Linked DNA regions of Lytechinus pictus. The protein of the gene in region 1 binds, or shares a complex with, the protein of each later gene. Links are inferred from orthologs where the notes say so. Each region holds a gene or a part of one and is shown in the gene's direction. Other genes may lie near its edges. The genes, in order: oligosaccharyltransferase complex subunit ostc-B-like and keratinocyte-associated protein 2-like.

Region 1 (8,231 bases):
GGGAGGGACGGTATCGACAGTCTCATTTATTTAGAAGGTTAATAAACTAACATCCAATTGTTATGAACCTTAGCATCATGCTTGAGTTTGATTTTTCCCTGTTTAATTATCTTTTTCTCAGGGTCCACGGTCTTGCCTTTTGAACCTGTTAGTGTATAAAAGAAAAAAATGCAAACGACCCTGGTCATCGTATACATTACTTGGGCACAAAATGAAGAAGGTAAAAAAAAAAGGAAGAAGAAGAAGATGATGAAAAAAAAAACGCATCCCGGACGTATTCTACGGTGAAAAAAAAGAGAAAGAATTTAAAGTCATCCAACTTGGCCTACACAGGGGAAAGGGTACGATGGTACGAAGAGAGAGGAGGGGGGGGGGGGCGGAACTTAAAAGTGAAAGAGTGAAATGACGGGGAAAATTTATCTCATAGTTTTCAATAGCAGCTCAAACTTGAAAGGATCTATGACGTGCATAAATAAATCATAGTTGTAAAAATTATTTATCCATGCAGTTAAGGACGTTCCACAGTTATGTTTGTGCGCATTATGATCTGCGCATAGTTTACACTCTGCGCGCTGACGTCACAATGGATGAAGAGGTGATTAATTAGCTGCGGGTATGAGCTGATTTTTCTCATCTTCTGCACTTTAACTGCAGATCCGATGCGTTATTTCATGAAGCTAAAAAATTGAAGTATTCCATGGGCCATTCAAAATAAAATTCTCTACAATTTCAAAATACTTTTCTCGTAAGAACTGCCAAGAATCACGAATATTACCCCGAGTTTGAATAAATGGTAGAGTGGTTTTGATTTTTACTTCACATAGATACAAAGCATTCGGTGCATTTTTGGTGTTTTAAAAAGCACATTTGCTCTAATAAAAATGCTGATAGTTTAAAAACAAGCACATGAACCCCTATTTTTTAATGTTTGTACCTCTTAGGTATACCTTCCTCTACAACCCTGCAAATTCTGGTAAAAATGACATGGATTTTGAATAAAGTGCAGCATTTATTGTACGTTTGTAGTTTGTTACTGAAATGTTACATTATTTAGATTGGTATTTTGTTATCTTTTACGCCATTTTTATGAACTGACAGTGCTGTTAAACTTATAATTGCTAACAAATAGCACTATAAATAGATTCTCAATTCTAACGATACAATTATTAACTCTATTGCGAAATGTGATGACTTTTTCATGTATTTTGACTGAGTAATAGAGGTTTAAACTCATTGTAGTAATCTTGGGCGGTCTAAAAATGCCAAATTCTTTTGAATGCGCAATTCTTAAGAACATCAATTTGGGTGAACTTTGAAGCTCTATAGCAAAAAATAAAGCACATGGACCTAAGTTAATTTTTGCATATTTCGAATATTAAGGTTCTGAAGTATCTATGTGCAAAGTTTGGTGAAAATGACATGGATTTCACTTTAACTGTGGAACGTCAATGAACAGGCGATTAATTAGCTGTGGTTATGAGCTGATTTTTCTCATCATCTTCATGCTAACTACAGATCCGATGCGTTATTTTATGAAGCTAAAAAACTGGAATTATTCCATGGACCATTTTAAAAAATATGTCTACAATTTTGACATACTTTACTCTGCAATGCTGCCAAGAATCACGATTATGACCCCGAGTTTGAATAAATGGTAGAGTGGTTTTGTTTTTTGTCTTCACATAGATACAAAGCATTTGGCACATTTTTGGTGTTTAGAAAGCACATTTTCTCTAATAAAAATACTGATAGTTTGAAAACGAGCACATGAACCCCTATTTTTTAATGTTTGCACCTCTTATGTATACCTTCCTCTACAACTTTGCAAATTTTGGTGAAAATGACATGGATTTTGAATAAAGTGCAGCATTTTTTGTACTTTTGTAGTTTTTTATTGAAATTTCACATTTTTGAGATTGGGTTTTTGTTATCTCTTACGCCATTTTTAAGAACTGACAGTGCTGTTAGACTTAAAATTGCAAACAAATAGCAGTATAAATAGATTCTCCATTCTAACAATACAACGATTAACTCTCTTGAAAAATTTGATGACTTTTTCATGTATCTTGACTGAGTAATATAGGTTTAAACTCATTGCAGTGATATTGCGAGGTCTAAAAATGCCAAATTCTTTTGAATGCGCAATTCTTAAGAACATCCATTTAGGTGAACTTTGAAGCTCTATAGCAAAAAATCAAGCACATGGACATATGTTAATTTTTGCATATTTCGAATATTCAGGTTTTAAAGTATTTATGTGCAAAGTTTGGTGAAAATGACATGGATTTCACTTTAACTGTGGAACGTCCTTAAGTGCCCTAACAAATAATTACTGCGAGTGCGATCAGCGCGAGAAGATATCTTTGATATATACGTTCTGGCCAGATCGAAAAGGGATCGGTAATAAGGACTGTTTGCACTTACCCATAAAGACGATACATATTTTAACAATCAAATAATGCGTGCGCGAAGCGCGAGCTGAAAATGTTGACATTCGGCGACCTAAAAACTGGACATTCTAAGCACTTTTTGTAACCATGAACAGGATAGGTATATAACTATACAAATTGATGCGAGCGCGAAGAGCGAACGGAAAAAAAAAGAGATTTCAGACCTAAAAACGGGACATTCTAAGCACTTTTCTAATCATGAACAGGATAGGTATTTCAAACAGTGGCAGACTGTGACCCGAAGGAGATTAATGATTGGAGGGGCACTGTATTCTTTGTGAACAATGCTGTGCCCTCCAATGCTTTGTCTCATGGCAGTGGGCAGCCCCCCACCCCCCCCGAAAACTTAATCTTTTTTAACTGCAGATTTTTACAAAATTCACCAAAAGTATGTACAAAATCCATCAATTTCACTTAACAAAATGCAAAAGGGCCTTAATGATTAGCTCGGTCGCTTCGCTCCCTCGCTTTTGATTTTTTTCCAAAAAGTTTACACGTGCTGCCCCTCACCAAAAATTTCTGCATACGGCCATGTTTAAGATAGTGACCTTTTTGAAAGAAAAGGTGCCCTTTTCCCCTGCACGTGTCCCCATTTCAGCTACGCTCCGCCGCACCTGAGATATAGGTCTACTTCCACTAAAAAAAAAGGAAGAGTATGAATTCCTGGAATTTTCCTTCAAATATTGATGGCCCCTGGGTGATGGTCCATGCAAATAGTTCTTTCTGCGGTTTTGTTATTACTATTTCATTATTATCAGTTTCTAGGGGTTTAATTGTGGCGTCGTATATGCTTCTATTTTATTATATTATACTTAAATTGCTCGTGAGGAGCCGCAAAACATATAAGTTCTAGAATCGCATATTAGGCCTAGTTGTAGACTGATATCCATTGTGTCAGAGGAGGTTTTTTTTATAGGTTTTCTGATTTTTTTTCTTTTTTGGGGGTGGGTCTTGTTAAATATGACTAGAATAACAGTTGCACCCAGCTGACCCTATTAACTAGTCAGACTGATTTGTTTTTAAAAGTGTATATAGGACTTACATTTCTACAGAAGGACTGGACACTGATCTCAGTGCAGGAGCACGGCCTTCTGAGGGAGTTTAAGTTGTACTACCATCGAGGTTGTATACACTTGGGAGAGTAGTCCATCTTTGATCTTATAGTTTCTTCGTCGCATCTGTAGTCTATAAGCACAGACTCTGATTGGTTTTAACTTGCCGTGCAGAATTTTTTACTGACTCGAGATCGATCCCTGACCACAATACACCCCGGTCCCCCAGTCAGCCTCTCTGCCCCTGATATGATCTATTTCAAATTTATACCATTTGGAAAAAGCGAGGCACTATAGGCTTCTGCTGGCTTGTACCACATGATTCTAATCCACTTGTGGTATATCAATTAAAATGCAGACTTATACAAATCTGACAAAATAGGATTATTGAAATGTTCTACCAAAATTTTAGTTTATTTGGTAAGGGTCTACATATTTATTTTTCTATTGTAAGTGTCCGCCCCCAAATTTGGCTAACTGCCACTGACAGATCGGCTATAGTGCCTTTTGTGGATTTGATTTGGGAGTCATTTGCACTACCCCAAAATTAAAGTATTTCTGGACTTATGGTAAAAGACCCCCTATTTCAATGATTTTCAGGAATTATTTCCCTCTAGCTCCTATAGCTAGGCTCCATGGGCGAACAGATGGGGAGGGGGGGGGGGGGGTCTTGCATCCCCCAATTTTCACGACCGAGAATAAAAAGAGAAAAGGAAAAGGATAAGGGTAATGATGTCAAAATCTATCACAAAATTTGATTTTTGTAAAAATGGTCAATGATTTTCAATTTCTTATCAATTTCCAGCGATACGCCATATTGATCCCCTCAATTTTTTTGCTCATTATGCCACTGTCTACTGATGTAAAATACACTCATTCCCGGCCATCAGGAACTTGGCACATTAAGTTAACTCAGGGATCCAGATTCCCCCAAATGGAAGATATGGAGCAATTTCTTGGTACCCCTTTTAAGCTGAAAAAGGGCCCCCGAAATATGGGGACATGCCTGAACCATGGTGGTGGGGGGGGGGGGGCGGGGGTCGGCCAAAGGCGGTGGAAGCGGGGGGCCCGGGGGACGGGCGGTCCTGTACCCCCTAAATTTGAGGTGGGGGGACGGACCCCCCTAAAATTTCGGTTGATAACCTTTTTTTTTTTGCTTGTCAATTTTCTTTTCTGCGTCCCCCCTAAATTCAGGTGGACCCCCTAAAATTTTGGTTGATAACCTTTTTTTTGCTTGTCCAATTTTTTACCTGTGTCCATCCCTAAATTTCAGGTGGACCCCCCACCCGGCCCCCCTAAATTTTTTGGCTTCCGCCGCCAATGGGGCCGACATTACACAATTTAGAGTCAAGAATCTAAGCGTATGTGTGTAGGGCCTACATGTGTCGCCTACTTTTAATCATTTCATGAAAATTAATTATTTGATGCATTATTACAATGAAAGGAAAAACTTGGAAATATACTCGCACCTTGACGCACCACCGCACTGCCCCTCCCCCAGACTGAGTTGTATTCTATTGAAAATGATTTGTATATTGTTAGCTCCTCTCTATTATATTTTTCTTCAATCGATGGGGATAGTAAAACAACACATCTCTATCTAATGTGGCAGGCTGGCACGAATACAAACAGTTAGTGGCGACGTCCCCACCGTCCCCAGGGACGATCTAGATCTACATCCGGATAGCTATATAGCAGCTCAAGCTCAAATAAATGCTCAATCGACGTCTGAATCGAAGTCTATAATGCGATACCTATATATCGTGAGGACGTGGCTGTTGAATTTTGTCTTAACGTGACTATTGGCCACAGAATATCTCTTTAAAATGGAACGACTTTATGCATTGCCCTTTTCTGTTTTGGAATGCCCACATTTAAAACTGAAAAAACCATCATGGCTTCATGCACCTTCTGCAATGACAGTTTACTTCGTTGTTTTAGCATCATACTTCTTAGTGACGGGAGGTAAGTGTGAGCCAAGTTAAGTTGTTCAGGCCACGATATGTCGATGAACGATACCCCGGGTCGGTCGGGTATGAACTCCGCAGAGATACACTCAAGCGACGCGATGACGCAGCCGCGGCCGAGCGTCACACTCACAGCTTTTGAACTTTTACTTTCATGCTTTTGTTTTGTTTTTCCCTGCTTGTTAACCCTCACCTCCTGCCTATTAATACTGTATAAACGTTCATACTTATTTCATATGCAGCCAAACTTCGGTATTCGCTGAACGGTACGGTCTGAGACAAGACACACCCAAAGGCCAAACTAAGTAACAAATTCAAATTAAACTTAAAGTAACTGTCATGGTCATGGATGCACGCACGTAACTTAGATCTATGTTGGGGAATCTATACTATAGTATAATTCAGACAGTAGAGTCTGAGAGTCTTACTAAAAATACTAGAAAGATAAATAGCCCCTCTAATCAAGATTGATAAAGTGCTTTTAATATGTTTCAAAGAGCTGCCTAAGAATTATGTGAATAGATCTTAAGTTGGGGATATAAAAAAAAAATGTCAAGACATCATTTAGTGTCTACTTGCATGACTTCATTTAGAAGTACAGAAATAAAATCAAGAAATATGTACTTAGAGGGTCGATATGTATATCAATTCAATTGATATTGATAAGATCAGTAACTCTTAAAACTGAAACTATCAACAGTCAGATTTTAGGAGGGGCTTAAAGTTCAACGATAGTGCTTCACATGTCATTGTTAATGGGGGAAATTATTCAAAGCTTGGGGGCAAAACTGAGAAGGGTCTGTGACTGTAGTTGGTTTTAGTTTTCTAAGGATATTTCACCATTGCCTCATGTATTGTGATTTTTATTTTCTCAACACTTTGCAGGTGTAATCTATGATGTTATTGTTGAGCCTCCAAGTGTGGGATCTACAACAGATGAAAATGGACATCAAAAACCAGTATGTCATCTTGTATCTTTTAAATTGAGCATTAATTGTGATTTAAATGAATTTAGATGAATTTAGATTCTTACTGGTGAGACAATCAATTCTAAAAAGAAAATGGAATTCAAAGATGTGATTTTTTTTAAAAAGAACATTGACAGTAAATTAACAAGGAAGAGTTATAATTATTATCAAAGGGAGTTTGATTATGTCTGAATATGTCTTTTAGCAGGAATCTTGTTAGTGTCTCTTCATACCTATAGGTCACATTTCATCATGGACATGACTTTGGGGGAAATGATGAATGCCAATCTGTAAGACACTCTGCAAGATTCCTAATTCCTACTAAAAGATATGGCCCATACTTTTGAAAAGGCGTCTACTCACATTTTATATAACTTGTTATTTATTAGATTAAAAGAAAACAAAAAGTTTAGTCTTTCTGTCATTTAAGGAAATAATTTCTAAACGTTAAGCCAAATTCTACCTTATTTAATTTCACTTAGCCTAATTCAATTAGAACTTCCCATTTACATTAAATGCAGAAAGTTTCATCATCACAGAAATTTGTAAACTTGAATGTGGCTCAGTGGATAAGTCTCTGTATTTTAACAGGGACGTCTCACGTCCGTGATATAAAGTCCTGCAACACTCAAGTCCTTTAGCTAATTTTTATCTACATTTGCCATTCACCATCCAGGTGTATTAAATGGGTACCTGGTACCTGGTAGGATGGAATTACTTGAATGATCATTGCTCAAGCACCTGATCATTGTAGCCATGCTCAGGCCAGGGTAATAGTACTCGGTACTATATTGTGTAAAGTCAAAGTACGATACGAATGTTGCATATTATCAGGCACGTATCCAGCATCAGATCCTACAAAGCATTTTATGGGCCCGCCCAGTTGTCTGGGGACAATAGTGATTCTATTATGTTTGTGCATGGACCCATACATTTCTTTGTCATAGCTGATGCTGGATATGCTAGTGATCGATTATTATTATTAATTTGTATTCCTGTCCTTTGTAGGTTGCCTTCATGCCATACAGGGTGAATGGACAGTACATCATGGAGGGCTTGGCGTCTAGTTTTCTCTTTACCATCGGAGGGTTAGGCTTTGTCGTTCTCGATAAATCTAACTCAACTGTGATGCCCAAACTCAACCGTTTTCTTCTTCTTCTAGTGGGCTTCATCTGTATCCTCATATCTTTCTTCATGTGTAGAGTATTCATGCGAATGAAGCTTCCGTAAGTATTTTGATTTTAGAAAAATATTTATGGTAGATTTATAGAAATACACTATATAAAATTTTGATGTAAATCCAATCATATTATGATGTTAATATGATTTGAAAAAGAAAATATGGCTAGGTCTGCACTCAGAGTTTGCGGAGTTGTTACGTTTACAAGTCATAGGCCTTAAATTCCGAAAATTTTTAGGGCGAATATTTAAGCATTTAAATATTACAGCACAAATAGAAAAGAAATAAATGAAATAAAAGTGCCCAACAAATCTCCAAGACCAATGGAGGAGCATTACGGCCAGTCCACAGGGCATCTATGGCCATGTCCTTGGGTTTATTCAACCTTGGACCTGGAGTCACCTGGAATGGGTGAACCAATGACTTTTTTTTTTTACTTGAGAGAAAACACTATTCTGAAGTGGTAAAAGGAAGTAACTTTCGAAAAATCCTTTGATTTTGATTTGCTTTTGTTGAGGTTTAAGCCATGCTTCCTTGGTAGTTACCATTAGATGGCAAAGTTCCAATCATATTAACTTTTATGCAGCAGGGCCCGGGACATATTCTTGCAAGTT
Region 2 (8,042 bases), on another chromosome or scaffold:
AGCTAGCCGCCCTATATGGTGTATTGACTGTACATTGAGTAAGCTAGGGCATGTGGGTCTGCTCTTTGCTATCTCACAAACTCTCCTCAGTGATTGGTATTGCACTAAGTCTTTTTAACCAATCCTCATGGTTTTCTTTCATGAGTATTTGCCTTACAATATCCCCTTTATTAAAATCCCAACGAAAGTACATGCCGTCCGATGTGACAGATATAGTCCACATGCCCCCAAACCCATCATCCCAATATATATCCCTGACTTCGGATTTTAAGTACCACATTTCTCACTTATTGGATGTAAATGAAATTATGGTCTGCTGATAGAAGAAGATGTTCATTTCCAGGGAACTAAAAATCTACCTGATTCCATCTTATCCTATAGATACACATTAGTTTGTGGAAATAAAAAGGGTATGATGGAAGTGAAATTCAAGAGTGCGCGTGTGCAGTGAAGACCTCTTCTGTCCGTTAGTTTTCCATATCCCTACATTGGCGCGAGGCGGGGCAGCTGCTCGTATATGACGTCACAGATCAAAAACTTCAAAATCTAATCATAACTTCTTAATTTTGATGGATTTTCCTCGAATCTCCACAAATATGTTTTCTGATTTTTTTTTACAATAAATTTTTGTCAGAGTGCCTTGAACGTTCCCACCGTCCAATACAGGAATCCAGTGGCGTACCTAGGATTTTCCAAAGGGGGGGGGGGGCAAATTCGTCCGCCAAAAAAAAAGGTCTTCAACCGCAAGTAAAGGACCTTTCGCACCAGAATAAAATTGACAAGCAAAACAAAATGGTCTTCAAGTTCAAAGGAAGGGCCCACTTAGCTCGTCAGGGATCAGTTTTGACTCGTCGGGGGGGGGGGGGGGGGCAGAGATACGTCCCTTGCATGTGTTGTGACTCGTCAGGAGGGGGCAGTCTGCCCCCCCCCCCTTAGGTACGCTAATGCAGGAATCAAATATGATTTCATGCAGCTTTTCTCGACCATACGTCAATCATTTTTAAACGGCAAAGCCACCCCAGGAAAAACTTGATTTCAATCGATAGAGAAAAATCAAACAAGCATAACGCTGAAAATTTCATCAAAATCGGATGTAAAATATATAAAAAGTGTATGGCATTTCTAAGTTTCGCTTATTCACAAAACAGTTATATGCACAAGTCAGTGATATGTAAATGAGAGAGTTGATGATGTCACTCATTCACTATTTATTTATTTTTTTATTGCTTGAATTATACAATAGTCCTTTATTTTCAATTTTCACAGGATTTACAATACGGACCCCGGGTCTTTGTTGAGCCACAATGTTAAAACAATGGTTCAGGAAGGAATAAAACTTTGTTTCTCATGCAACTGAGGAGAAAATTGAAATATTCCATATTACGTATAACAAAATACCAAAAAAATAGTAGCCTACGTCATCGGTCGGCCAAGCATACCTACCAGGGTGTGCATATAACTTTTGTACTAAGCTAAACTTTGAAATATATAACTTTTATCCGATTTTGATGAGATTTTCTGTGTTATTTTTTTATTTTTCTCCTTTTATTCCAATCAACCTTTTGTTGGTATAGGACTTGTCCTTTAACACACAAGGTCTTCTGAACTTTGTTTTCCGATAGCAGTAAAACCCAGAAAATTAATTTTTTTACTCGTGCAAATGGAAATTTTCAGTGGCTCCACCGTGAATTTACATATTGACGGAGGGGATGCCGCGGAGCCATGCCGAAATCTCAGCGGAGCATATCCCTGGGACAGAAATAAACCTATTAACAGAGGCGTCGATCCTGGGGGGGCAGGGGGGCGATCGCCCCACCAATGAAAATATTGGGGGGGGGGCAAACATATCATTTTGCCCCCCCCCCCCCAATAATTCCGGATATACAAAAAAAAAAAAAAAGATTGTAATGTTCAGCAAGCGAGATTGAGATACACAATTCGTTCTTTATTTAAAATCGTGCTCAAAATGTCTGCTTTTCAGATTGGAATATAAAATTTTTTAGCTCGCGCTTCGCGCTCGCATCATTTCTGTAGTAAAAACCCATACTTTTCATGATTGAATAGGTGAATGTAAATGTCCCATTTTCAGTTTTAAGCTTCAAAAGAACTCCTGCTTCGATTTGCAATCATCTTTTCTTGGATATATATCTTGTTCTTTATCAAAAACTTACATTAAACTGTCATTTTTTTCAGATCGAAATATCAAAATTATATCTGTGTAGTGAGATATGTATCCTCATGAGTTACAAACAGCCCTAAACAGGCACGCTTTTCCTGTCAGTATGCTAAAAAAAAATCAGCTCGCGCTTCGCGCTCGCATTAATTTGTTGATGGTGAGATACGTGTCTGTGTCTCATGAGTCATATATATATATGTGTGTGTGTGTGTGGGTGTGTGTGTGTGTGTGGGGGGGGGGGGTGGATGGGTGTCTTATACGATCGAGCGCCTTTGGAACGTTAATGATTTTGCCCCCCCAATCTGAAAAATGAATCGACGCCCCTGCCTATTAAATATCGGTCTAACTGTTAATCTCTGACCGAAACTGAGACCGAAAAGTGTTCTTTTTTTCCTATTTTCCACAGCATGCACGTTGAGATGGCCAGCATATCTTTTCATTGATTTACATCTCATGAAGCAAACTGATTCAGTGGCAAAAAATTACACTGATTTCCTATAGCTCTGTTTGGGGCAACTGCATGTCCATGCAGCGGCCTACAAATTGCCCCTAAATAGATTGCAAAAAAAAGCTGCTAGATATGTATCTGGAATTTCTGACTATCAAATTGCGAGCGGGAATACATTCATAAATGAACTCTCCTGGCAAACTATATTGACCAACGTCGGGATTATTTTCTGGATATTCTCATATGCAGGCCTACAAGTGTATAGGGGGCGTCGCCCCTCCCTGCTTATCAAATGAAATTGAAATGTATTTCGATCACCATGGCATGAACACTAGTAATGCAAACTTACTAAATGCAGTATTACCAAAACCTAACATATTTATGATATGCCGGAACAGTCATGTAACTTGGAATAAACTCCCGGAAGAGTCCATAATGCCATTTCTGTTGCATGAATATCATTATAAGAAATTTCGCTTAGATCAATAAGAATTTTTAAACTGTTTTATTTTGGTTCATATATACTTATAGTATTGTTATTATTAGCATGATTACCCAAGAATACACATCTAACGTTAATTATCGATTATTATGATTTCCTATAAGTATTAATATTGATACAATTCATTAAATTGAGGCCTATTCCCTTTTTAACGTGATTTCATATCGGTGTATAAAACCTCTATCTTTTCCCTTCATCACTTCTTTATCTTGTTGGGACGGATCTGAGTATTTATGAATTTGGTGGAGAAAATGTTATGTTTCTCTTTAAAAACAAAGATAAATCAAACACACCAATCAATCAGACTAGGAAAAAAATAGGGGAAAAAACTAAACAAGCAACAACAAGCACGGCGACTCAAACACCCCAACTTTTTAGCTAAACGTGATCATTCAAGAAAAATAAGCACTTGACAAAATAATTACAGTTCGATGACTTCGATTTATAATGAAAATGATTCGAATGTTTTCTTTGACAAATTTACAAAGTGTTTACAACTCAAAGAAATGCCTGTATGATATATCCAATAATGAAGACAGTAAATAAAGTAATGTCGAATATTCAAAGGAATTATAACAGAGCAATTGATTATGTAATAAAATAGGATATAAACTCCAAAATAGGCCAAAGCGTTGAGAAGTTGACAGTTCGATCTACTTTGCGAATTGAGTTGTTCGACCTGAACTTGGAATGGTGAAATACGTAGCTAGGCCTGCCGTATACAACGGAGAGTGGAAAACCGGTCTTGATGAATCATCGATCGATGTCATGCAGGACAAAAACTCGTCTATGGTGAGGGTCTCAGTGGAACCCGATAAATATCAGGAAAAAGAAGTAAAAAGTCAGCTAAAACAGGAGTCCATTTCTCCTTTACAAAATGAAGAGCCCATACAGCATCAGTGTGGTATACGCTGTTGGGAAGCTAAGCCGACGATCTCGGGGAGATATTGGTTCAAATCCCCATAGAAAAAGATGTAACCAAAATTAAACACCGACGGCTCTGCTGAAGTATCAGCAACCGGGTTTTTTGTGAGAGTCCCCGTTTAATTAAGAACGCACGAAACCGCCCTTACAGGGCGAGATCTAATTGGTCATTTTTCGTAACCAGGAAAAACATTATTTACATATTATTACTAAGTCCGTGTCTCTTAGGGTTCAACACGTATTGGGAATGCTTTCTTTTGAAATTCACCTGCTGTTCCGGAAATACTGTCTTTAATAATGACAGGTGGAAATTTCTTTGCGTCCAACTAAAAAAATCCAAATTGCATTTGATTCTTTTTTTTTTACACGTATCACATAAAAGTGCTTTTGATTCTTGTTTTACACAGTATCACATAAAAGTGCTTTTGATTCTTGTTTTACGCAGTATCACATAAAAGTATTTCAGGCTTCTTTGATATCCTAAAATAAACTCAGAAATTGTCACTACAATCTTATTATGAGATAAATTTTGCTATTTGTTCATTTTTCATTCTGATGTTTCACTTTCTTAATATGTGTATTTCTCTCCTTATGCAGGACCATTATGTGAAACAGCCTGCGAGCTGAGTAATGTTTTATCATGTTGAAAGTTGTTTGAATAAATAAATAAATAGCTTCTTTTTTGGGACGCACTGTATCTCTATGGTATCCGAGCATAAGGGGGGGGGGTGGAAATCTACACGTAGTCTTAAGTCCTGATAAATGATTTTATTACTATCAATTACATTAACAAAGTAATCCATTATAGGCAATGATTTCATAACATAATCAATAAAAAACTTCATTACCGAATCATGATGTCTTATTAATCACGATAATCGTCATTATTATTAACCTTTTCAATAATAAGATTTAAAAGAAAATATCTAATTTGTCTGAAATATTTCTGACCAGTAGTGCCGACGTGGAAGAACTGCGACTTCAAATATGGGTAATTCTTATATTATCTTAACGTTAATCGTCACTTAAATGGAGAAAATCCGTCAGTATTGCAATATATTTTGATATTGAAGCGTTTGTGAGGCATGAGAGTGGGAAAAATGCGTTTTGAAGTAATTAGAGTTGTTGTATATAATCTCAACTTTTTTTGTAGTGGTCCCGCGCCCTGGTTTCCGTGTGTGTTATATTGGGGTAAAACAATGTCAATGCATTGAGGCGGGGGGGTCTCGATGCCGGCGTGTCTGGAGTCCGGACACTTAGATTTTTTAAATCAATCATCTTTTGCTCCAGAACTTTTTGGCAACAAATAGCCAAATAATTGTAAACATTATCATGTGGATGTGCTTTCCTTTGTATTTTTTTGTAACTCACTAACCCAGGCCAGGGTCGGGAGCTCTGGCCCGCTTCGCCTTCGCGGGCCGGAGCCCAGCCCCAGGACTCGACTCGTCCGTGTAAACTAATACTAGGCAGACATGGGTACTCTCCAAAATGGGGTAGAATGGGGTCGCAATAGCCCTCCAAATAAAAGGGGAAAAAATAAATTATGCACTTACCTGGATTATATGGATGACATGAAGGTCTATCGTCACACAGAATCCTGACATCGAGACACAAACCGGATCCTCAAAAATGGAAAAGTTAGACCTCCATGTCGCGTTCATTCTCGGTATCGATCGGCCATTTTGTTTTCAATTTTGAGAGAAGGAGAACAAACGAGACAGAACTTTTCCTCATTTAAGTATTTTTGTTGTCATCCACACACAAAATAAATGGGCTTCTGCGCCTCTACGGCCTACTCTCCCTGTTTTGATCCTCCGCTCTTCGGAGATTAGTGACAAATCGCGGTCAAGAGCATTGATGTCTTGAGCATTTACTGCCAGGATTAAATCTAGCCCACTTGAAGAGTACAGGTGATGGGCATGAATTTTATATATATAGTGAAGTGTCATTTTCAGGATGGAATCATTAACAGTATGAGGAAGGGAATTGCGCAAGGCAATTCAAAGGGATCGTGGGTATTGAGTAGGGTAATTTTTGAAGAGGATTGAAGATTTCGTTTTTAAATAGAAACTTGATTCGGTTTAGAGAATATTAAGAAAAAGATAAATCAACCAGTGCACTCTGATATAAAATCTGTCATGTAAATTGTAGAAAATATGTTCTTGTTTAGAATTTGTTTGGAAATTACTTGAAATATAGATTTTTATAACATCCTGGTTTTTAAATTATTTTTGCAAGAAATAGGATCAGGAAGCCTTTCACCATGGCATACATGTATGACCAATTTTATGGCCCTGATTATTGTAAATTTTAAAAAGTGCTGATTGCTACCCCCTTCATTATTTTTTATCTGACATTATAGATTGTTCAAACATCAATTTGTGACTTGTTCCTTTCAGCTGTCAGTAGTGGAGTATCGGCTCTTTTGTCTGCTATCCTAGCAGTAGCCCTGTTTGCTGGTATGCAGACATACCGCACCCAACTCGCAGATTCAGAATGGCTGACAATATTTGGTGGATTCCTTGGAGCTGACCTATTCATCTTGATCCTCACTGTATCCTTTGCAAACTTTCAATTGTGTTCAATGTTGTGCTGATCTTACGGGAATCCTAAAGGGTGCTTCTCTATGCTGAAAGGAATTTTCTTAATTGAAAGGAGCATATTTTATTTCTTTTTCTTTAATTTAGTTTAAAACCATCTACCAAAATGTTGCAAAATAGTTGCATTGCCAAGCAATAACCTAAAAATATTGTATAATTTCAGCCTAATTTAGTATCTCTGCAGTGTTCCAGTTTGAACAAGAATTGGTCACTTGATGTGATTGTGTTTTCATCATTTCATGCAATTTTTAGCATCATGTGTGCTGAGTGTAGTTAATTTTGCACAGTGCATCATGCACATCAACTGCAACAAGCAAAGCAGGGGAGAAACCATGTTTACATCATTTCGAAACTAGATGTTTCAATGATGGGTCATTTGTCTAAAATATTTGTGATTAAATATTATAAATCCCTGATAGTTCTTGGGTTCCTCAAAGTCTTCTAGGCCAGCAATTTTTGCTGCTTTCATAATTTTTTTTTATCATTGGTCAATGAATGGGAAGTAGGAGGCAAGATAGAACAATTGATATCACAGGCACCCTCACGTTAATACATGTAGCCCCCTTCATATTAAGCTATGAGCCATGCCATGTCAACTCTACTTCATTTAAACAAAATTGCATAGATTTGTTAGCCATGTAATGTATACTATTACTATGGTGTTATCCTTAAAGAGAAATGCCAGTAGTTGCAGTAAACATTGATTTCATGAGAAAGTCTGTAAAACCAGGCTTAATTGTCAGTATACCATCGAGGATCTAGATCTGGTACAGTTACATAAACTGAACTTTGTGAAATCTTGAAATCTACGCTGAAAATATTCACACTGAAGATCCCCAACACAGATAGGCACACGTGGGACAGTGTATTATTATTGCTGGAATAAAGACCCGACGGAAGTGACCGAATCCGCGCTTATTTTGCTTATTTCTCAGCAATTACACAATTTCGACCAGAATCCTTTGGCACATATTTTTTATTCATCCAAACAGACACTTGGGTGGTCATTATATTAGATTCTGTAAAAAGTCATTTTGAGATCGTTACCAAAACTGGAATTTATCTTTAACTGCTAAAATCTGCAGTGCATTAGTAACATTGAAACTATGCTCTTTGGTAAAGGATTTCAGGCGAAACTCATTCCAGAAGGTATGTATCACTGAAAGTCAATCTTCATCTGCTTTTGTTAATTTGCAATACATGTAAAGCATTGGTTCTTTTCTGTGTTCTTTGGATATGCAAGGATGAATTTACACTTATTACTTTTATTACAACTTTTTTTTTTTTTGATGGTGGTTAGGTGGAACCAACCATGTTGAGGGGAATTGCCAGAAGTATATGTAGTTTCAGCTCAACATTAGAATATGCATTCCTCAAGAAAGTTCTGCAAAA

Evidence for each region.
Region 2: oligosaccharyltransferase complex subunit ostc-B-like (region 1) and keratinocyte-associated protein 2-like share a complex: the UniProt entries of both Drosophila melanogaster proteins name them as parts of the oligosaccharyltransferase (OST) complex. The link is inferred for Lytechinus pictus from reciprocal best matches to the Drosophila melanogaster genes CG9662 and CG31460.

Annotation. Positions count from the first base shown.
Region 1 is NC_087246.1:18,766,106-18,774,336, forward strand, and holds the start of oligosaccharyltransferase complex subunit ostc-B-like, read left to right. Parts: upstream 1-5,018; 5' UTR 5,019-5,328; coding exon 5,329-5,467; intron 5,468-6,354; coding exon 6,355-6,428; intron 6,429-7,445; coding exon 7,446-7,663; intron 7,664-8,231. UniProt on the Drosophila melanogaster protein: Subunit of the oligosaccharyl transferase (OST) complex that catalyzes the initial transfer of a defined glycan (Glc(3)Man(9)GlcNAc(2) in eukaryotes) from the lipid carrier dolichol-pyrophosphate to an asparagine residue within an Asn-X-Ser/Thr consensus motif in nascent polypeptide chains, the first step in protein N-glycosylation.
Region 2 is NC_087249.1:30,323,979-30,332,020, reverse strand, and holds the start of keratinocyte-associated protein 2-like, read left to right. Parts: upstream 1-4,814; 5' UTR 4,815-5,037; coding exon 5,038-5,041; intron 5,042-6,449; coding exon 6,450-6,604; intron 6,605-7,735; coding exon 7,736-7,799; intron 7,800-8,042. UniProt on the Drosophila melanogaster protein: Subunit of the oligosaccharyl transferase (OST) complex that catalyzes the initial transfer of a defined glycan (Glc(3)Man(9)GlcNAc(2) in eukaryotes) from the lipid carrier dolichol-pyrophosphate to an asparagine residue within an Asn-X-Ser/Thr consensus motif in nascent polypeptide chains, the first step in protein N-glycosylation.